Linked DNA regions of Lepisosteus oculatus. The protein of the gene in region 3 purifies or fractionates together with the protein of the main gene of each other region. This does not show direct contact. Links are inferred from orthologs where the notes say so. Each region holds a gene or a part of one and is shown on either strand. Other genes may lie near its edges. The genes, in order: epc2, vps72b and mrgbp.

Region 1 (8,194 bases), on a different chromosome or scaffold from region 3:
AAATTTAAAAATTATACAATCTCTAAAATGGCTATATTGATATAATTGGGACTTTTTACCACATTTAGAGTATTATCACTTAAAGTGTTGGATTTAACAGATTTCAGGTTTACCAATGGAACTTTCGGAACCCTAAATAAAGAAAAACACACGTGTGCAAAACCTTTAACAGTTAAGGCAGTTTTTGCAGAAACAATTCTGAAGTTGTAGCTGCCCGCATTCTCTTTGGGAACTAGAACAGCGCGACATACTCGCTACGCTCTGCACTGGCAGTGAAATGCGTTTCCTGGCAGGCCTACCACTGATTCTTGACAAACCTGCGCAACACATTAAAGTGGGGAAAGAAGTAACAGCTGGAATTTAAACACGCAGCATCGAACAGAGACTCACGCTGAATGTGGATAAGCTGTTTGGGAATCTTGAACTCTCCTTTGTAAAGGCGGTCGTAGTAGGTGATGTTACTTTCGGCCTCGGGAACCGGAATAACCATGCATTCCTTCTTCTCCCTGAAGACCTGCTGTGCTGAAATGGCTCGCTGTAAATGGTGTTCCTGGAAGGGAAAGGAAACCAGACGTACTGTAAGAGACAAATCTGCATCGACCACTCGTCACAGAGGCAGTTACCATCCACCGCGATATCTTCAACACAACAGGTGAAAACATCCCAATTTTAAAAATGTTTCAAAATTGCCGACTTGATGGCATCCCTAAACTCAGTTTCGACTCTTAGCTTTATGCTCTTCGTGATATGGGATGCATTTTAGCTAAAACTGACGACTCTAAGGAATGTGAAGTATGTTTTCTGCTCCCGGGAGCTGGGAGCTGCGTGTCCCTCAGCTCAACAGTTAGCTTGCTTTGCCTAATCAATATTGATTGATATTATCAAGAAAACATATCGCAAATGAAAACATATTTGGATAATACGATTCTGGAGCACAGTATCACTACGTGCATAAAACTTTAACTGATTTTGGGCCCTCCTTCTCAGAGACCCCCCATCTGAGCCAAGTGCCACAGCTGGGTCCGAGCTCGGAGATCAGGACCGGCTGGCACCCGAATGGCAATTTGTGTCACGGATCTGGTCAGACGTTCCAGTTAATCTTCAATCCCACAAAATCCTGAATCACTAGACATGGCAGAGGCTCGCTAGAATACTAGTGATCATTATTGATCTCGATGCCCTCAAATGGCAAAGGCTGATCACTGGCCAGGGGTATCAGCAGAGCTAATTAACAGGGCCTCCTGCCTGTGACTACTGAGAGCTGCAGCAGGTGTGATTACAGATGCACACCACCCTGTGCTGAAAAATGTAAAAAAATACAAAGCAGAATGTGATGTGACATCTAGGTTATTTTGCAATGAGTAAAAGAAAAAAAATGCACTTTGCTTGAGATCAAAAGCACACAGCTCCTCCCCTTAGAAGTTTCATTAAGGGCTGCAAAGCATCTGAATATCAAACAGTGGAACATATTCAAACTTAATTCACAAAATCTGGTGATGTGGTTTGTGATTCACAGGTGCTACAGCTGAGTGGCATCGCAAAACTAAAAAAAAGGTATTTGTTGGCGAGCACAACTTATATTTTAGAAGTGCCTGATATGAAGATTTTCAAACGATTAGACCAAATCACCTTTTGATTTCTTTTGTATCAGAACCATTAAAAAAGAAATTGGTGGAAAATCTATAAAAGCGCTACACCAGTGAGCAAGTGCTTATTCTGCATCCTCAATGCACACTGTACTACCAGATCGTGTAGTTAGAACAGACCGGGCTGCAATAATACTGAAAACAGAGGTTGATCAAAAAAACATTATACTTCAAGACAGCTTAGGGGAACCTAAAGATGTATAACGAAAACGGATTCTTCTCGATACGCGCTGCAAGCAAGCATAACAGAATGAAACTTTGTGTTCGGCACAAAAATGATAAAAAAGACGTGTAAATCTCATTCACCCCAGAGGGCTTCACAGCTCGACTTCTGACAGAATGAAAAGCGCGCCGGCGCGCCTGGCCAATGAGGGCGCGGAGGGGGCGGGGCCCCTGCAGGTACGACAAATTCCATTGAGAAATTTCTTGCGCTGACAACACGGGTGGCGATTACTACTACGGCTGGGGCATCTTGCAAGAGTACCCGCAGCCCCGCCAATGTAACAGTTCAGAATATTAATGAGAAACGGCAACAACTAAAAAAAAATGCAAGCACGCTACGAGCTCAGCTGCAATGCACAAGCCATCCTGATCAGAGAGGATTAATTAATAAGCCATTATCTGACACAAGCCTACTTACACCAATCACGTCTTTCACATTGAATGCATGCATGCATGAGCAAACGTGTGCACTGCCAGTACCTCTAACTTGTGCAGTGTTATCACAGAGGCACGCTGGCTCCCGCATGTGAACTGCATATTGTTAACTACGAGCTTGTTCATCTGCAAGTAATAATGCACAAATCTCTGTCGGTCCAACATGAGCAGCGCAGGACCAATGGCGGAACACTATACGCACAAACCTTGTTTATCAAAGCAACGTACGCAAACCTAACTTCACTTATGAAACTGGCTCACTGATTTCCTTACGCTAACTGCGCTGCGTAAGGACAAAGACAGACACACTGAACCGGGAAAGCATTTCCCCAAAAGCAAAATACCTAGGGACTCACAAAGAAAGCTACGTATTACTTCCCTCTCGTTACTCAGAAATAGACCCGCTGCCCTACGCCATCTGCGTAACTTGCGCACCGAGTGTAAACATGGCGATCACCGCCAGATACGGAAACGATGTTTGCGTAGACTACGCAGACCACAGCGGCGCTCATAGAGTGCTACGCATGGACGTTTGCGTAAACCTGCCAGGAATACCAACACCCCGCTTCGCTCCCTAAATAATAACAACAAAATATAATTTTAAAATACGGCCATACCGACTCCTCTTCCTTTTCCATCCCCGTCGGCATCTGCGGCACGGCCCGGTTGATGGAGACGCAGTCGGTGAGGTCCGGCAGGTCTCTGTTGCGGTAGATGGGGAGAGGTTTGGCGGCGTCTAGCGCTCGCGCTCGGAACGAGAGTTTACTCATTGTTGTCGCCGATCACAATAACATCAATTTGGAAGGAAACATTTATCCCGCCACAGTTCACTCGAAAACTCGGACTAAAACCACTGGGGACCCGGTTCTTTCCGCCGCGGCCGGACTCATGGGTTCCCCTTTGCTCGGAATCCAGCGAGGGAAGCCGTTTTCGGTCGAGTTTTCCCGGATTTAAAGGCGGTTTTCCCTCGGTCGATCCGCTCCCTGCGCCATGGAAAACATGGCGGACATTTCCACACAGCGGCAGAGCGATCCCGGCAGCCCGCGCGAGACACCCGGGCGGCGGGGGCCGGGGCGCTGCGCGCGCAGCCCCGGCGGCAGGCGGCACGAGCTCCGACGGCCGGGCGCGCGCAGCCCGCCGCTTGCGCTGTGAGCTCGGAGCGCGTCGCTCGTCGAGGACCAGTCCGCTTCCAGCTGACCCAACAGGACTCCTGTAGTCCTGAGGTGGGCTGACACAACACAGCACCGTCCCGATCCGTTGCCCCGCATGGTTGCAACTTCCGGTGGTTTCTCTCCCAAAGATATTTTATCAAGTTGATGCCTTGTTGGGCACTTGCGACTGGCTGTCCTAAATCGATCTACTCCCATAGGCACTGCTACCCGAAATAAACTCAGACGTCCGTGATGTAAATGTGTAAACGACCAGTAGCTTTTTGCAAAAAAAAAGATATGCAAAAAAAAAAACACGCCAATTTCTGATTTCAAGATTTTTTTTTCAGGAAAAGAAAATGAATGATTCATAAATCATGAAGTCCGAAAGGGAGTTCGTGTGACAGGTCTCCTTGCCTGACGAGGTGACTCCCCGTGAGTGTTAAAGTAGTTCACACGGAGATTCGGCGCCGTGAAAACCCGAGGTTTCCTCCCGGGCGGTACTGCCCTGGCAGGTCCTGCTCCCCTGGTGTTCATGTGGAGCAGCTGAGGACAAGGGCTGGTCTCTCAGCCTCCCGAGCTGTGGAGTCTCTAGAGCAGCACTCGGCCCGAGTCCGAACCCGCTGCAAGAGCCCGAGACAGGCTCCGGACCAGAGGAGGCTGTTCGGCATCACTGGTCCGTCGGGTTGTAGCGACTCGTACTAATAGTCCTTTGCACAATGGCACAATTGTCTTGATTTAAATTTCAAGTTTAATTGTTGTGACGATATATTTGGTGTTTTAAATTGCTTCCCCACATCGTCTAGAAGACAGCAAATAGCTTGTCTACAATAATATAAACTTTTCCATAAGTAGACATTTCCCATTTTAACATCTAATGTTTTTGCTACCTCAATGTAATACACTTTATCTGTCTGCATTGAATATCGTCTGCCAGGTGTTTGTCTAGTCTTGAATTTTATTTAAATCTTTAGTTTATATTACAGCATTTTGAACCAATAGCACCTTAAAGGGTATAATCGTTCTTAAACATCACTGGGTGGAAAGGTCTATTTCAATTTTGTCCTACTAAAAAAGTATTTCTGTAAGAGTACCTCATATTTAGTTATTTATGCTTTTATTCTGTATATTCATTTGAAAGCTTAATAAAATGCTTTTTTGGTACTGTCTGTGTAGAATCAAAGTTATAATCTCCAATTTCTTCACGTTTAACGTGATATTCAGCAATAGTTACATTTAAGAGATTCTTTGCTGTTAGCTTTTTTCCATTGTTCAAAACTCCGGGATTTAGAAACTGTACCAGATCTTAACGAGATGTTGAAGAATCGAAACAGTTTCACTGCACTTTGTGCACCAGTACAACAGTAAACCAGTTAACTGAAGAGAGGCAGATTGGCTTGCATGACAATGTTGCCAGTCAAGGTCCATCTCAATTTGTTACAGTGGAAGTTGTGATTTTCATCTGTTGAGCTCTTTGGCTCGTGGCATGCCAATTGAAATCATTAGTCACAGGAGGACTAAGATCTCACTTTGGTTTCTTGGAATCCTCTCATACAGCGCGACCCTACTGCACAATTAGATCATTCCTGCAGTTCGCAGGAAAGCTGGCGAGAACGGTACAGGGTGTTTTTTGTTGATATCGCCCAAGTCAGACGAGTGCTACTGTGTCATCTCTCAGGTGAGCCAGGGGTCACCACAGATCCCAGAGACTGGGATCATTCCAAACGACCACATCTTGTTTTTTTGCTCACGGGGTTGAACCATCTATTTTGTTATGTAATAAAAAAACATACAGTATACATATATACAGATACTGGTCCAGGAGCTTTACAGGAACTACAGTTCAGGTTACTCAGATGTGAAAATTGTGGATACATTTTGGAAAAGGAATAATCCAGGCTTCAACACCTACTGTGATGCACAAGATAAAAAAGATTACTGTTCGGATTTCTTGTTAATGTTGTTTTTGTACATACATTTTGTACAGACATATTCTAAACCAATCAGAAAAGCTTCCTTTTGCACTGTGAAACTGCACCCCAGTGGTGGATTTTTAACCACAGTGAGAAGACAGTTGCAATGAAAATGATCCCAAAAAAGCAATAATTCTGCAACTATACAACTACTTTCACTGCACGACATGAAAATGCAAGACACTTGGAAAACCGGAACGTAATTATGGAAGTATTTGCAAATGCAGTCCCTTCCAATATTTCATTTCACAGACTCATTAAAGACATCTGCTTTCATCTGGTCACTCTCACCTGAGACAGAAGGGCTTGTGCTCTTCAGAACCCAGGACGAGCTCTGGGCCGATGAGGCACCATGGCTCTGGTCTGGACTTGATCTGGAGCTACTGAGCTCTCAGGAGTGACAGCCTGGTAGCAAAATGGCAGCACGTTGTAACACACATGGGGATTAAAGTAATTAAAATTCTTAATTACGTCAATTCACAAGCTCAGTTCGCCTCGTACACAACAAGCTGTTTTTAAACTCAACATTTCACCCCTTCAGGGGCTTGAGATGTGCCCCAAACTCTGCAAGTACAGTTCTCTTTGGTTGACCATTCCTTTCATTTCCCATTAACCCCGGGGAAGGGAGTCGCGTTCTCAGTCACCCCCCACGTGAGCTTCGCTGTGGCCTGCTCTCAAGATCCCTCTCAGTCCGAAAGCCTCAACGCTTCGCTGTTGAATGACGGAAACACTGCGTTTCCCCCAGAAGCAGGATACTGTAGCTGTGGCGTCTCCACGCCGGCCAAGCCGACCGCTCTCCTGCCAGTGAGCGGCTCGGGAAGAGCCCGCGCTCATTTCCTCAGGACTGCAAACCGCACAGGTGGGTCACGCTGGAAAAAAACACTGATTGCCTGCAGAATGGAGTCCAGCCTCCGTTTCATCACTGGAATTAACAGGCTCTCTCCGGCTCTCCGGGAAAGGGGAGCTGCCTTTCCTGTAAGTGCTGCAATGGTATCTCAGGCTCAAGAGCACCTGCCTGTCACTCCCAGGCCCTTCAATCAAGATGGCTTTGCTGGAGGGCAGCCAATCAGGCTGCTCTGCATAAAGCCGTCATGATAAATCCGGCTGAGTCATGAAGGCTCTCTGGACTGGCAGCAGGACACAGTGACGGCTCTGGTATGGAGCGATTGCATTCAGGTACTTAACCTGAAGAGAAATACCAGCCCGTGAAAGTGGAATCGGTGGGAAAAGTTGGAAGCAGCCTTTTGCTGCAAGACTACAACAGGAGCAGTGTTGATCCCCATTGAGAGAAATGTGAAAGCCTTTGGATTGTATGAATTTTCGCAGTGTGCGTTATGAGAGAATAGAAATATTACTTTATGTATTTGTTACTTAGTCTTTCATAATATATACACTAGGCTACAGCATTTTACTTCTAACTTTGTCAGCTTTTTTAGCCATTTCCTTCCCCTGTATGTCCAGAGATATGTTTCATACAATTTACTTAGGCTTTAACTGGTATCCAGTAGGTGTAACCATACAACATTTCAACATCAGGAGAAGAGACCCAGTTTTATTCATTGAGGCACTTTTGGTGTGAGTCACGTAGGCAGGAGCCCTCCATCAGTCTCTCCACAGAGAACGAACGGTGTGAAATAAACATTCAGTGGTCCGATGATCGAAAGGTGACCTTCCAGCTCACGCAAGCGGAAGTAATCTGATCTTGTAATATCCAGGAGATACTGCTATTTAAATGGCTCTTCTTCTCAGGAGTGTGCAATTTTAACAGCCAATCAAAAAAAAAAAAACATCTCCCACATTTCAAAGGACTGCATCCAATGAACAGTTGGTGGTAAAACGTTTATTACAGAGAAGACTTTAGAAATGTTTATATATAAAAAAACATTAAAAAAATATATTGTGACCAATTTAAGGCTTTCCAAGTCTTCAGTTTATGGACATTTCCTTCACCTTAAGACATTTATTGTTCTAGCGGTTTTAGGTAGTGACCAAAGGTGCTCCCTCTGAAACGCTTGTGCCACACCTGCAGACATTCTTACCCGTTTTCCCATCCCTTCCGCGAGGAGCTCGGAGCACACACCCACCAGCTCGCTGGAGCGGCACACAGCCGGCACGATCGGCCAAGAGCAAGGGGCTGCAGTGAGCGCGTGTGAAAGTCCAGTGTCTCTCAGGGCAGGGCTGCAGGGCGGTGACGCTGCCCCCAGTGGTGCACTGGGGCTGGGATGCTTGCGACTTGTTTTGGCCGGATCACGCGCCCGTGCTGCACGACAGCTGGCTCTCCGTACGCGGCCCAGGAGCAGGGTTGAGTGCTGCAGATTACTCCTGGCCACTGGTGTCTGCAATCCCCAATCCACCTGTGCACGGGGGGGGTGTGCATCTTCTGCGGTGGTTTAAGGATAAGCCAGCAAGCAGCAGGAAATTGTTTTGACCCCACAGGAACTACTTACCTGAAAACAGTCTCTTTCCCCCCAAAAGGTGGCAAGGTCTTGATTGCTGACTTGGCAATTTTCATTTTTACTAATCAGAGAAGACATTTTAATATATTCAATATGTTGGGATTTTTATTGCAACTAAATGCAATATGGAATTTCTTTTCGGGAACACTTCAGACGTATGGTAACACAGCAAGGCATTTTGTGAAACTTTATGTAACATTTGCTTTGACCTTTAGTTTTTAGGGCTGTTCTACTGAACTGGGTAGAATTCCAGGGATGCAAAAGTGAGGAGAGTCAGAGTAATGTACAGTTCTTATTCAGCTGACATGTATAAC
Region 2 (7,608 bases), on a different chromosome or scaffold from region 3:
GATATTTTGCCTATTATTAGAATATTATTGTCATCCTTGTAAATGAAATTCTTTACATAGCTATGGTATAATTAAAGTTCCAGCCTGCAATGTGTGCTCAAGAGCGATTACTGGAAATGTCACGGTCAAACAGGATTAATCTGTCAATCTGGCAGTGTGGGAGGAAACAAGCGAACCAGGAGGTGGGTGGAAGGCACATTTTGTACAATTTTGTACATTTTGTAGACTTTGTAGCCATGAGAGTACCTTGTTCCCAGCTGGCTGCTTGTTTTGTATGGTTTATTCCACAATGATGTTTCTTGAAAACCTGGAACAAGAGAGTCCACATCACCCAGATGAGAATATACTCATCTATATTCAAAGGGGTTCCCCAAATTCTGTTCCAGGACCCCTCTCCAAAGCAGCTCTCTTACCAGCTCAGCTGTGCTTCATGGGAAAATTGAGATCAAAGTGAACCGCTGTACAGTACGTACAACACTGACAAATATAATAGAGTGGAGCAGTTCATCTTCAGCAATTCACCAGTCATGCCAATAGAGCTCTGTGAATTGGAATAGTACACAAAAACCACAACATGGCTGTTTTTTTTTTCTGTCCTGGTCCAGTGTTTCCAGACGGCTCAAGTGGGAACTATGTGACAAACCGAGAAAAAGGACACGCCTCTTTACACAAAGGGTGGTGGGAGTGTGGAACAATCTGCCCAGCCATGTTGTGGAGCCCGATACACGGGCTGCTTTCAAGAAACAGTTGCGCCAAGTCATTAATAATAATAATAATAATTGCTTAAACTTATATAGCGCTTTTCTGGACACTCCACTCAAAGCGCTTTACAGGTAATGGGGACTCCCCTCCACCACCACCAATGTGCAGCATCCACCTGGACCATTAGATCAACCGCATCCTAATGACAAAACAAAATGGGCGCAATTCCTCTGGTTCTCGTGTTCTTCACTTGGGGACCTGTTTCCAGAACTAGTGTACCTGACAGACCCCCGATCCGGGCGATTGTTCCCCGCAGCTCAAGCGACAACGACAACGCACGTCAGCAGATTCTTTGCCATTTGTTTGAAGAGGACGCACAAAAGCGAAAGGAGTCTTGATTGTCTCTCCGGCGTGACAGCGCTGGGTAAACTTTGCCGGGAGCCGTCAGGTGCTTTACCACTGAAGCGCAGACGAGCAGTATTTGAATTGAACACTCGCTCGGGGCTCTCATGCTGAACACACGCTCCCCTGTTCCCCGTCCCGACTGTGTGCAGGTAGCAGAAAGGGACGGAAAATGTATTTTGGAAGGTCGTTTCCTAAGGCCCGTCACGTGTGAGCGCGGCATTTTGCTGATGGACCGCAGATCGGCTATTTCCTATTCGGGACAGTGCACGGCTTTTACGTGCAGCTGGGACAATAGGCGCCACTGTTTCTATTGTTGGCCTCGGGCCTGTCTCTCCGTGTCTGCCTTTTACAGCAGTGAGGGGGGGGAACCTATTGTCTATGGTCAACTGCCCCCACAATGCAGCGAGGCCAGCAAAAAAAAACGCGATTTTTTTCCACCTGCTGCTCCATCTCGTGGTGCTGCTGAGTATCGCAATTGCGTTTGGGCAAGGAGTCTCCGCTTGTCTGTCTGGACTCGCTTCTCTCATCGCCCCCCCCAAAAAAAATATTCCCCTTTTCTGGATGGGGAGATTCTTCTGCAGCGCAGGCGGGTGTGTTTCTGCTACGGCGGCTCCTCTGGGCTGGATCGCCTGGGAGACCGCCCATCAGGTGTGTGCGGCCGGACAACGTGGGTGGTCAGTTTATTACCGTCCGGAGCTTTTGGGGAAAAACGAGCAATCGGGGGAGATACAGCTGGCCTGAAACAAGCTGGGAACAATGGCTACGCGGCCACAGCCCCTTCTTTCAAAGTGCCCTCGTTTGTACCGCTTTTGCGTGTCAATGTACCCGGAAAATAATTAAAATAAATGAGACGGATGGTTGTGTGTCTTACTGACGTTTAAGAACGGTTAAAAACGAGAGGCCATTCAGTCCGTCAAGCCCGTTTGGTAGTTAAGAGTTTCGTGATCCAAATATTGATTCCTTCTGAGTCTCAGAAATATCGAACACGTATATAATGAAAGCCAGCGGCGTGCTCTCTCACAGTGGAATACCGTCAGCAAATAAGGACAGAAACGAGAGGAGTCATTCGGCCCATGCAGTCCATTTAGTAGTTTGTAGCTAATTATTCCAAGAAACCTCACCCAGCTGTTTCTGTAAAGAAACCACAGTATCGGCTTCAGCAACGTGGTTGTTCCACACTCCCGGCACTCTTTGTGTAAAGAAGTGGCTCCCGTTCTCATGTTTTAAATCTACACTTCCAAGGAAGTTCCCACCGGTGCCCTCTAGTGGGGGGGTAGCCACTGGGTCCGGGATGACCCGTCCGGATTAAACTGATCCGGAGAGCGTTCCATGTTTCACCGCTGGTCCAGGCTAGAGGCGATCGTTGATGTGAATAGCTACCAATTACCAAGAGCTGGCTGTGATAATTCGCCCCCTCTTGTCGGCAAACTATCCTCAATTTTTAAATTGCCTGCTGGTGCTTTTCTGGAACACCAGCTCCTTGTCTTCAGCCACGCCGCCATACTAATTGAAGGAATTCTTGTATTAAGTATTAAAGGTTTCCACTTAAGTGGAAATGTCTGTTAAAGTGTGGTGGGTGCTGGGCCGCTGTGCATGAGGGATATTAAGGAAGACTAATATTTAGGAACAGTGTTCATTTCTAGGGGTGGTACCCCTGTCAGTCTTTATTGATGGTGCAACTCTTACGGACACTAAAAGCATTCAGAGTGAAGGAGAGTTTTGGCCGACTGGCGTTGTTCAAAGGGAGGGTGGGTGCTCAGCCCTGGCGGCCTCTGCATGGTGTCCACGGGTCCCTCTGTTCTAGAGTCCGAGGCTGTCCAAGGCTGGGGAGCGGCAGGATTCTCGGGGTCCCCTGTGTTTGCAGTGGGGGAGGGGTGGGGGGGGTAGCCACTAGGTCAGGGTTGCTGGTTCGGGAGGATGGTGGGAGGCAAAATAACCCGGAAAGCGTTCCAGATCCGGAGTGGGACAGCCATGGCCTTTTCCCCCCGAAACTGTGAAACCCAACACTCCGTCCAGAATTCGAGGGATTGCGTCCGACTCGGAGAGCCCGGGAGAGCGCGCTCCTCCCCCTCTGCCGGAGGTGAAACTGCTCGGCTGAAACTCTGCGGATGCTCTCTCGATAAGAGCATCTCGCCTGTCCCCATTCTTAAAACACAGCCGCCTCATTCCCCTCATCAGTAGCCCCATTCTTTGCAGCTGTGGCCTGAGATGAATGTGGGGAATGCGGCCAGGGAACATATCTGCCCTTAGATCCTTTTCACATAAATCTTCCAAGAATCAGACTGTCCTTCATGCAGCATACCAGATCTTATCAGTTTTAGCTGGTACAACATTTGTATGCATTCCAGTGCACTCTGGAAGCAGTCTGTAATAACCTGAAATACGTGAAGAATTTGCAAAGTCATCCATCCTGCCTAATATCCCTTCACACATGTTTCTGTATGGTTAACGCTCACCACATTTGACTGAGATCTGATGCATTTGTGTTTCGACTATATTTCCTTCTTTTTCACACATTATCCTTCGAAGGGACCTGCTTGCAGGCGCTGGGAACTGAATGCTGAGACAGTTGCAGCGTGCTCCCTGCCATGTCCATCGGTGCTTTCTGTGAAAACCCAGGTGGCAGGCAGCTGGATTAACTGACATTGAAAAAGGCATTGAGGAGCTGGAGCGTTCAAACTGGGGCTTGGCAGCAGAATTGCAACCAGTTCCTATATCCCAATATCCCCTGGCAGCAGGCAGAGGGTAGCCAGCACAGTGGTTATGCCACAGACTCCCATACAGTATATCAAGAGGCAGCCTGCTTAGGCAGAAGAAGAAATGCAAACATTGTTGGATTAGAATTAGTCCAAATCATCTCTTACTTGTATGACCTTGCAGGAATGTTCAGTGCTTTGGCAACACAGGCACACTCATTGTTGCTATCAGTTTTAACCTGGCACAACTGGTACTAGCACATTAGTAGGCGTAACATGTAGTTCCACCTGTGTTTGTGTATAAACAGTCAACACACCATGTTGCTAGTGCTGCTGGTGATTCCTTCAACCGCCTGTTGCTTTGAGGTGTTCTCTACAGCTGCTTGCAAGTCATGTGAAAATGGCTGACGCCAAAGGCCTCCAATCCTGATCCTAGAGGAGCTCCTAGATCTTTTTGAAACACCAGCACCAGTTTGTTAAATTGGGCCCACTTCAGCCATTAGGAGCTGATTGGACTTTGTACAGAGCTAAGCAAGGATGAAACACCTGCACAAGCCAGCCACCCAGGACCAGGGCTGGTGTCCATGTCAATCTACAGCACAGGTTAAAAGGAACTGAGTCTCTTCAGTCAAGTGCAAGAGAGCTTGAGAGAAGAAAGCTGCTAAATCATACATTTGTTTACACACTTTGAAAATCAATTTGCTTTTTTTTTTGTCTGATGCCTTTATCTAGGGCAACTTAGATTTGCCCCCATTTACCAACATACAGCTGGCTATTCAGGTGAACCAGCTCACTCAAGGATAGAAAAGCTGTGTCACAGCTGGAATTCGAACCCACAGCCCTCCAGTCTCGAACCTTGAGCAGCCTTCATTGGTAGGTGATGATCTGTGATGGCTCAGTCTCCTGAAATAATGATTTACTTACTTAACTGGGTCCTTTGATGCAGGTGGCAACATAAGATAACTGTCAAACTGTTCACAGCCGGATGAAGTTAATAATTGTCCAATTTTATTAACCAGTTCCCTTGAGCTATCTCACATGGGGAGGCATTTTGACTCCTGGGAACTGGATTGGATTGCTTTGGTTTTGATGTCCTTTGAAGGATTCATCACCTGATTTTTCAGCCAGAATATTGTGAACAAATCCCTTTGTGACGCTAAAATGTGCAATGTGAAATGTGCGAGCGAATCGTCAGTCAGACGATATTCATTTAACTGCAGGAACACCGAGGCTTGAGAAAGAATTGTAGAGGGTGAATGCTGAGGTAACACTGTCACCTCCTGGTATAAACTCGTCACAACCACTGCGGTTCAGCTCCATTAGTTGAGTCTGGATTCAAGGCTCGGCAATCAATTACAAAGACTTAAAACATGCAATGGCCGCCTTGCACCGTAGGCCGGATTGCGAATAGTGTCTAATTCTGTTGTTTAAATAAAGAAAATAATTGGACTTAAATATAGTTTTCAGAAAAAAAAACCAAGGCGTTTTCACAAAAATAACTTTCTTGTTAAATTCGACGGACGGTACAATCTAGAAGTAAACGGATATCTTAATCTTACAGTATAGCTTTACTACTGAAGGCTGAGGGGGTCGTGTTTATTTATTTTTATTTTGCAGACGAAGTTTACCCAAACATGAGTTTAGCCGTCGGTCGAGCACCGCGAAAGACGGCGGGAAACCGTATGTCTAAATTATTAGATGCGGAAGAAGATGACGAATTCTACAAAACGACTTACGGCGGATTCAACGATGTAAGTTATTAACACAAGACTTTACGTTAGAACAGATTTCTTATCAGAAATAAAATTAATTTAATAGTACAGGAAATATGAAATTGGAAGCTTCAGGTTAATACAGTAGTCATTTTGTATGCTTAAAACGTTTACACAGGTCTCCCTCATTGAAATGAAAATCGTAGATTTGGAAATGTTACGAGACCGAGCATAAAGCGAACCGCACACGAACACCTCAGCATGTGTCGTTATGGGCGGTAAGCTTGGTGAAGATTACTGGATTTCACATTTGGGCTTTCTGGACCCCTATGTCCGCTCGCTTTTGTTCCCTTAATCAACGGAGTTCATTTATTTAGGTTTTCTACTTGAGGCGTCTTCTGCTCTTATCAGTCCGAAGGAGATTTGTAATGAGCTCTTGTGCTAATATGAGGGACAGATGTAACCAGCTGGACTCGAGCACAAGGAGAGACGCTGGCTCGCTGCAGGACCAGAAGCGAGAACCACTGATGTAGGGCAGCACAGGAAAAGCTGATTTTCGCGTCAGGTAAAGGTTTATTCCGTGCTGAAAGGAAAAGAAAAGCGACAACGTTTCGGCTGTGGAGTTTCTTCAGTTATAAACTAAACGCACCTGAAGAAGGCTCCATAGCCGAAACGTAGTCTCTCTTCTTTTACTTTCAGCATGGAATACATCTTTACCTGTTCCTTTGCAGCCTACGCATGCTGACACTGCCACCTGAATTGAATTTCTGGTTTTACTGTAAACAGGGCTGTGATAAAACTGGCATTTTTTTTATTGTTGTTGTTGTCGTTCTGCAAAGAGCTTTTTTTGAAAGCCACCTTTTAAAGGTGCTATATAAGTTAAAGTTGATTATTATTGTGTTGCACTGCTCATGTGTGGGAGCCCCACAGGTGTGTCGGGGACAGCTGGGGGCACCTCTGTGATAACCAAAAATCAAAACTCAGCATGGTATACATTAGCATGTAAAAATGGCCGAAGCCAAGGGTCTGCAATCTTAGTCCTAGAGAAGCTGGTGTTTCAGTTAGGGCTCCTAGGTCTCTTTGAAATCCCAACAACAGTTATTAAATTGCAGATGCATTGTATAAAGTGTATATCCAGTGGTATAAAGATCCAGTGCTGTGTTCCACACAGCCCTATTAGCAATAATCTCTGACTCCTTCGTGCCAATTTGTAATTAAGATGTTCTAGGACTAGAGCTTTTTAATCTGCCGCTACTTATGGAGGTGCTGGAGTGTTTTTGATGAATCCCGGAGAAAACGAGCAGATTGCTCTTATAAGGGCGCCGCCCCCTCCCATCGGGTTCATTCCTCTCTGCTGGCAGGAGTCGGGCGACGACGAGTACAAGGGCGACCAGTCGGAGACGGAGGACGAGGTGGACAGCGACTTCGACATCGACGAGGGGGACGAGCCCGACAGCGACCAGGAGGAGGACGAGCCCCGCAGGAAACGGCGTGTGGTCACCAAGGCCTACAAGGTCAGGGGGCGGCTCTGAGAAACTCTGGGCCTGTCGGGGGGTGGTTTCATGGGGCGTCTGCAGGCAGCCAAGACACGGTATTCCTGGGGAATAAGATAATCTCTGTTACTCTTTTGTTGAAGGGTGTCTGATCGGAGGGTCTCAGAGAGGAATCGTCTCAGGCAACTTGGCAGGGTAGCTTTCTCCAGCTCTTAGGCTTTGTGTCTAAAAGTGCCTCCTCTTTGCACTCTTAATAAACAGGTTTCCTTTTGACACTGCTGTGCTATTCTTTTTGGCTTCTGAGGGGTTTGCAGAAGACGCTGTGCCCTGCCTTTGTGTTTTTTGATCCCAGTGATTGCCCTCGCCGGGCTTTTGAAGTTTGCTTTCGATTAAGCAGAAACCTGCCGACCGCCCGGCGCTTTTTAAATCTCTCCGCGGTGGCTGGACTGTCCTCCAAACTGCGGAGTGGTGGTGCGCATGCCGAGAATGTGGCCGACCATGAGGTCGCAGCCCCTGACTCGGTGTCCGTGTGTCGTCTGTGTCCGAACGGTGTTGTCCAGGAGCCCATCAAGGTGGTCAAGCCCAAGCCCAAGCCGAAGA
Region 3 (7,468 bases):
CATATTCCCCAGATTCTTTACATTACTTTTTATCATCCTGAACTCTTAAAATACACTGAAACCTGAGTTCCCGACACAGAGTTTTTCTGGAGAACCACGCACAAATGAAATCAATCAACAGATGACATTGCACATCCGTCCCCAAGACATGCTTTTAATGTCCTCTCAATATATAAATAAGGATTTGCCTGTTTCAAAGGGAGAAATCCATGATGTTTGTACACCTTGTGGTAACTGAAACAATTCAACGGCCATGTGATATGAGTTGGTCTCTAGTGAGGTCATATTGGATTGTTGGAACAGAGTGAAAGCATTCTTCTGTCCATACCTCTCACAATCCTGGCCAGCCAAAGTGGGTCTCAGACCTTAAAAATGAGAGATAAATGACCAGAATGAGGGACACCAGTTTCTGTCAGCAGAAGGTGCCAAAGTGCTGCAATAGCACAGCCAACATCTAACTAGAAAATGAAAACAAGCCAACCAAATAAACATATTAAGCGAGAACCTTCTTCCATGGTTGCAGGTGGGTCTCGTTCTTCTTTGATTTCATCCTTGACTTCTTCTTCGACCACCAGTTTTCCTGCATGCCAGCAAAGAACTAAACTTAGAACATATTCTAGTAATGAACAGAAATGATATGTTTTCACTCATGGCATAATATTTTTCAGATTGTATGACACTGCAGAAAGTGCTAGAGACAAACGTCTCATCAACTACAAAAAACTGAAAATGTCTACTAACATTTAAATATGACTAAAGAAGCAATCAATATTTACAAATCAGGAATGTCAAGGATTGTTGTGAACAATCAGTCAGGAATGTTTTTGTAGTGAGGCGTGAGTCGGTCTTACCTTCTTTGACTTCTTGAATAATTTCCTCTGGCAGAACAAAACTTTTTTCCGAGTTTGGGAAAGGCAAGATTTCGGATTCATGCTGCAGACAACAGAAACAAAAAATTACAACATTTATATTATATTTAATAATTAATATATTTGAATATTTTAAGTTTCAATATTTAATATATACAATAATACATATTTCTACAGTCTTAATAGGACAAGAGGAAAACTTTTAGTTTTAGTAAACTGAGAATCTATCTTTCACACTGCTGCAGACATGGACACAATTGCTGCATACATTATTTCCAGCTAGTAGCACCTAAAACACCTTTTTATGTTTATATTAGCTCTTAGTCATTGTAGTAAAAATGATCTAATCTTAGCAACACATTAAACATAATATCTGCTTATCTACTTAAGGGTTTCGGGAGGAGCTGGAGCCTAACCCCACATACAATGAGCTCAAGGCGAAATACACCCTGGATGAGATAGCAGTCCATCACAGGGCATACAAAGCAGACACAGAAGCAAACACCCACAAACTGACTACACAGGCAATTTCAGTAGTGCCACAAATAAACAGGATGCAACTACCAATAACCACTGCATACTAACCAGAGCTTGCATGTCGTACATTGTCCCCAGATGATCCCAAATCACTTTCGAGGAAACCTGCCGTCCAATATTCTGGCTAAATTTATCCCGAATGCAGATCATGTGGAAATGACGATTAACTCCTAAGACAAAATACATTTATACACACACAACAAAATGGTAAGGTTTAAATAAGAATTAAAACCCTTAAACACAATCCCACATTGGACTAGACTGGTCCTTTTTTAACATTAATAGGTTTTACTATACAGGCCTGGTCAGTAACCTTGTAGTCCACACCATCTCTTGGTTTGCCCTAAGAGAGAGGACGCAACCCAATGCTACAGACTAGATATTCTTGTTGGCCCCTGTAGGTCTGCTGCACCCACCTTTTCATGATTCAGAATTTGATCAGTCAGCCCTGGGAGGAGGCAGGTGATGAGTGAATGAAAATCTGCTCAAGCGCCCTACCTCCACAAGTGGCAGCTGTTTTGAGCGGAAAAGCTGCTTATGGACAACTCTCTTTTTAGAATAACATAACAGATGGATAATCATCTGGTAACATGGAAAAAAAAAGATCAAATATATCCTAAATTCTAGAAGCTTCCGGTTGTCTTTAATGAAGCATCTTCCATTCTTTTTCTGATGATGACATAATTTTATATTGCGGTATTACTTTCTTTTACACTATTATTTCACCTCGTGGGGTAACTGTACAAAGCACGATATACAGTACATCTGTTCAATGCCAACAAACCAAAAAGTTAAATGGGAAAAAAACTAAGCTGCTCGACACAGTTCATTCAAACATTGGCAAATGAATAAATCCTAAAGGTCCTGGCGTACCGAACTATAAATATAAACAGTTCCATTATACAGGCAGCGTTATCCATGATGTTCTTACATCTGCTGATAACTAAAACAATTCAACGGCCATGTGATATGAGTTGGTCTCTAGTGAGGTGATATTGGATATATAACAGAGCTATACAGAAGCTTTAGTCTTCGTCTCCTGGCTTGTACACCAGGGGGAGACGGCTCTGTTGTTTACTACGAATTGTCTCGTCGTATAAAAAAACAATTACGAGATTAATATTGATCACATTTAAAAATTATGTACAGTATAAACGATTAACAGTAACATCAATGTAGATGTATTGTGCGATACCATTAGTCGATTTTAAGATATTTGCAAGGTCTCTCAAGTTGTAAAAACGGTCCCAAGGAGGACAAACAGAACGCCCATCTACCCTAACAAAATACGATATCTGAATGTGTGTTTTTACTATGGCATAGGTTTTCTCCATCTTGTACTGTATTTGAGCAGCAGTTGCCAAATTCACTATTTGAGGTAGGATTTTCAGTTTCCAATATCTTCCTTTTCTTCCTCAATAGTACCCTAGTTAGCGTGGCTGGCGGCAACGGCTCCTCAGTCGGTGACCTAACTACTCAACACCGAGGATTCATAGGCCTTAAAAGTGGCGGCATCATTTGTCGTAGTTCATAATCATTTGCAGTCTTACCTACGGGTTTGTGGCCCAGCATAGCATGAAAAAGGCAGACCTCCACTTCTTGGCTCCATATTACCGACTCCTCCACCGGACTAGACCCCGAATCTGCCTGTTTTTCATCAGCTGGGACGGCCTCTGCTTCTCCCATTTTTTCTGAATCTTCTAGCAGGAAAAGGTCGTGCTCAGCAAAAAAGAGTAAAATAGCGCCCTCTAACAACATGAAGAAGGAGCTGCAATCTCGGTTTGGCCTATTTTATGCTAAGACCTTTTTTTAAAAAAAATCCGTTTTTATCGCTATATGTTTATATTATTGTTATAGTTAATTATGATTATTTTTATAACAAATTACTTTCAAAATTCTATAATAACAATTATTATGCTAAATTATTCATAAATATTATATTTATCATAAATTGTCATATTATTATGATTATGATTATGATGATTATTATTATTATCAAAATAACACTAGAAAGAAAGAAAAAAACATAATCAAGGAGATTTTCAATAGTAGATTCTGGGTCAGCATATTCTGTCAGGGTATATCGCAACATAAGGGCTTCATGTCGCGATATGGGAGCGGGGCCTTTTTGCCGGGTATGTCATATCGCGATACAGTGGCTTCATGTCGCGATATGGGGGCGGGGCCTTTTGGCCGAGGTATGTCATATCGCGATATAGGGGCTTCATGTCGCGACATGGGGATGGGGCCTTTTTGCCGGGGTATGTCATATCGCGATATAAGGGCTTCATGTCGCGATATGGGGGCGGGGCCTTTTTGCCAGTGTATCTCATATCGCGATATTAGGGCTTCATGTCGCGATATGGGAGCGGGGCCTTTTTGCCAGGGTATGTCATATCGCGATATAAGGGCTTCATGTCGCAACATAGGGCGGGGCATTTTTGCTGGGGTTTGTCGTATCGCGATATATGGACTTAATGTTGCGACAGTGGTGCCATGACAGTGATGCGGCAGTCGCAATGGGTATCGCGATGTGATCCTGATTTGCGCTCCTATCGTGACATGCTATTGGAGTCGTGAACGCGCAGTGGATGCCTTGACATTCGTTGTCTGCTATTCAGTTTTGACCTCAGTGCGACTCTGTTAGATTGATCAGTAATTGGAAACCAATAGATGTGTTACTGTATATCCAGCGTGCTCATACACCACACACGGTACACACAGAACTTCCGCTGTGGCTCTTTACCCAATCAGATTGTCGATTCTCACTCTTCACCCAATCGCTGCCCGGACTGTTCGGGAGTTTTAGCCAATCACGGGTCTGAGAGCTGTTCAGGCTAGTAGCGCCTGCTGGATCTGCTTGTTTACTGTCAATGAGAATCTGTTTTTTAAATGCTTTACTTATTTGTAAAATAACTACATCGGCTTATTTTTAAAAACGTCTTTATTGATTCACAATGTCCCGTACTCGTCGAAATAAATATTTTTTTTATTTGCAATATAACTGTCTCCGCTGCTTTCTGTAATGAATACATGGTATCTGAACAATTTTCATCGTAAGGTAGGGGAAACACCTTCTGCTTTGTACTTCAAAAATGAATAGAAATGTAAAGTCTATGATCATTATATTATTATGCTCGTGCTTTCAATTTGGTTTTTTTATTGTTAAATTATATCGATCTTGAAACTAATACCTAAAAATGTGAATATGGACTCTCGTGTTGTACCAGCGGTAATTTGGAAACTGGTGTCTCTTCACCAATGAAAGGAGTACACAAGAAATACATTTTCGAGAACGTGGTAAAAAAAATAAAAGAAAACACCTAACCCAATGAACTAACATAGTAACTCCTTCCTAAATGTATGACTGTTTATTCGGGTAAAGGCTGCAAAGTCTGGGGTCAACTGATCAAAACTGAAATATCTGGTGGTCGTGACTTTGCTGTTTTGTACATCACAGCCAGGAAAAGAAGGCGCTATATTCAAATACATTGAAACATCCACCCCACCCGACTAGACAGATTCGGAAAACAAATTGCCCTCACAAATTGCCTTAATCACAATCAGGCAAGTACCGAGTTTGTTGGTACCTGTAAACTTCCTTGTAGGTAGTCACTCGAATACCCGAAAAACAAGGCGCTATATGTCGGAAACGAAAGCAGCAGAAACGCTACTTACAGCGACACAAACCGCAGCATTAACGATTGCGGTGAGTTTCGTCGTTTGTGCTGTTCGACGGGCGGGTGGGCAACTTCATGTAGCAGGACAAGCAAACATGTCTGGGTCATTACATTGCAGACTGCAGAAGACTCGACTTCACCTGAGGATCTAACACAGGCACCCACACCTGTGTCTTCAGAGGGCAGGTGTGTCCTCACGCTGTATTCTACACCGAGGACTGGCCGGAAACACAAACATACACACCGCTTCGTGTTTGCGCATAAGACCCCTGTAAATACAAACACATGGATAATGACAGTTCATTCAATAATTCTGATATATGTTCACTTCTGTTACGTGAAAATAAATATATATGTTTCCAATATTGCCGCGGTCCGCAGGTGTCAGACGGTGGACTTTCCCGTGTTTCTTCTCGGATGTTGTTTCTTAGATGGGCCAACTTCACGGAGCTAGACTTATAAGTATAAAAAAATGCTCTAAAAAAAACACTTCTGACTCAGTACCTTAAAGGCTTTTGGGAGGGAGCTATATGTAACAACTCCTCTTCTGATTATGCAGCATGGCCATAGTTTATCAGAAGAGGGGAGAGGTTTCATTCTTTGTCAATGAGACAGTTAAGGATACTACTGTACAGTATGTCCTTGCTGGTCAAAAACAGATTGCAGCAGTGAGGTGAAATTTTAATGGAGTTCTAACAAAAGTGTGGGAGGTTTGAAGGCAGCAAGACAAATAAAGCTCAACTGCTGCTTCCCACAACTTATCCTGATGTAATTTCTCAGATTCCCATATGCACCACACTCTTCCTCGCTTGTTTTGCATTCCTCCACCCAACTCCCACAGTTGCAGCTACCCCTTGGTTGCCTTTTTCTCCAACCATGGAGCTCGCAGCCTCCCTGTCCTATGGCCCTAAGCCATGCGGGCTAAGCCATCCTTTCACAAACTCAAGAAACGATTCTGCTGTAAACACAATTTTCACTTGCCTTAATTCCTTGTTAAATAGAAGACTACAGATTGGAAGTAGGGGAACCTGAGCCAGAATGCATTATGTCAAAGTGTGGTACACAATTGTGAGCCTTTACTCTTAAGAATTCACTGGACAAAATAAGGAAAGAAACTCCCTGAGATCCAGGCAATGTGTGAATGCTTTAATATGAGACAGACATCCATCACCTTCCCAGGCAATCTCATGTCTCTCATTTCAACTTTTTGATTGAGTACAGGTGGACACCAGTGAGGAGTTCATGTTCAATCTCACACACCATAAACTGAAGATAATCCCCCTACAGAACCCTGAAAAGATTGTGTTTCTAGTCTGTGAAAGATTTGTTCAACACATGACACATCCTGGTCACACAGCTGTTGGTGATTGTAAATTTCCACCATTTTATGAAACGGGGTTCCTAATATTTTGGCCGTTGAGTGTATTTCATCACACTAACTGATTAAGGCATTTTATGACACAATCACTGGTTCAGTTCCTTCCAGGAAATCTATTCAGCGTTCACAGAAAGGTATCTGGATAATAAGTATGTCACTGAAATGTTGACTCACCCCCGAGACTGAAGAAGTCATTTTTAAATGTAGAAAAGGTTGCTTTAGATTGGCAATAGGACATATTTGTCAGTGATTTAAAATCTGTTTAACACTTACAGGTTCTGTGGTAAAATCTATTAAATGCTTAGATTAACATCTGATGCAGTTTCACAGCTGGGGAAGTGTTAATTTGTCTCACTGTTTTTAATGTGTTTGTCAGATGTGCAGAAAGGTTAGTCTATATTTAGTCTAGCTTGCTTTCCAAGAGAAGAAATCCTTCCAAACTGGAGAGTTACCAAGTAACATAGAGCATGGAAGGTTTATTTTTCAGAATGAAAAGTCTGAAATGTCCCTGAACTTTCTCATTCCCAGAGGAAAGTGCATTGACTTCAGTTTTCTTTTCTTGACTGTTAAAACTTCCTGCCAGCTTCTTGGATATGTTTAGATTTCCCATGAGAAATATCTACTTGACAGTGATACAGATAATTGATTTTATATTGGATAATATGCCATAATATTGGATAACATGACTTTCTTTCAGTGCAATACAGGGGACAACAAAATATTCAAAAGAAAGACAACTTCCATGTGGAGCTCATTAAGCTTACCCCAGTGTCCATAGATCAAACATTCAGGTTCTGACTTTAACCAGTCGTAAACATCAATAGAGACTTAAACAAGTAGGAGTGAAATTGACTAAGATTTTATTTATTTGGAAGACATAGCACTGTAAAAGCCAGCAGCCATATCACCCTGATGCTCTCAACTGGCTACTTGCTGAAGCAAAGCAGAGTTGAGCCTGGTCAGTACCTGGATGGGAGACCTCCTGGGAAGCTATGGTTGATGCT

The links.
Region 1: the proteins of mrgbp (region 3) and epc2 purify together in Homo sapiens (co-immunoprecipitation; 4 studies listed by BioGRID and IntAct, counting the BioPlex papers as one, with this or other methods). This does not show direct contact. The link is inferred for Lepisosteus oculatus from reciprocal best matches to the Homo sapiens genes MRGBP and EPC2.
Region 2: the proteins of mrgbp (region 3) and vps72b purify together in Homo sapiens (co-immunoprecipitation; 5 studies listed by BioGRID and IntAct, counting the BioPlex papers as one, with this or other methods). This does not show direct contact. The link is inferred for Lepisosteus oculatus from reciprocal best matches to the Homo sapiens genes MRGBP and VPS72.

The regions. Positions count from the first base shown.
Region 1 is NC_090707.1:2,857,457-2,865,650, reverse strand, and holds the start of epc2 (enhancer of polycomb homolog 2), read right to left. Parts: upstream 3,338-8,194; 5' UTR 3,074-3,337; coding exon 2,921-3,073; intron 551-2,920; coding exon 391-550; intron 1-390. UniProt on the Homo sapiens protein: May play a role in transcription or DNA repair.
Region 2 is NC_090722.1:5,052,395-5,060,002, forward strand, and holds the start of vps72b (vacuolar protein sorting-associated protein 72 homolog), read left to right. Parts: upstream 1-4,372; 5' UTR 4,373-4,387; coding exon 4,388-4,406; intron 4,407-5,420; coding exon 5,421-5,554; intron 5,555-6,876; coding exon 6,877-7,029; intron 7,030-7,568; coding exon 7,569-7,608. UniProt on the Homo sapiens protein: Deposition-and-exchange histone chaperone specific for H2AZ1, specifically chaperones H2AZ1 and deposits it into nucleosomes.
Region 3 is NC_090711.1:7,361,717-7,369,184, forward strand, and holds the start of mrgbp (MRG/MORF4L-binding protein), read right to left. Parts: upstream 3,139-7,468; 5' UTR 3,093-3,138; coding exon 2,957-3,092; intron 1,577-2,956; coding exon 1,455-1,576; intron 934-1,454; coding exon 852-933; intron 581-851; coding exon 506-580; intron 366-505; coding exon of another isoform or gene 329-365; intron 1-328.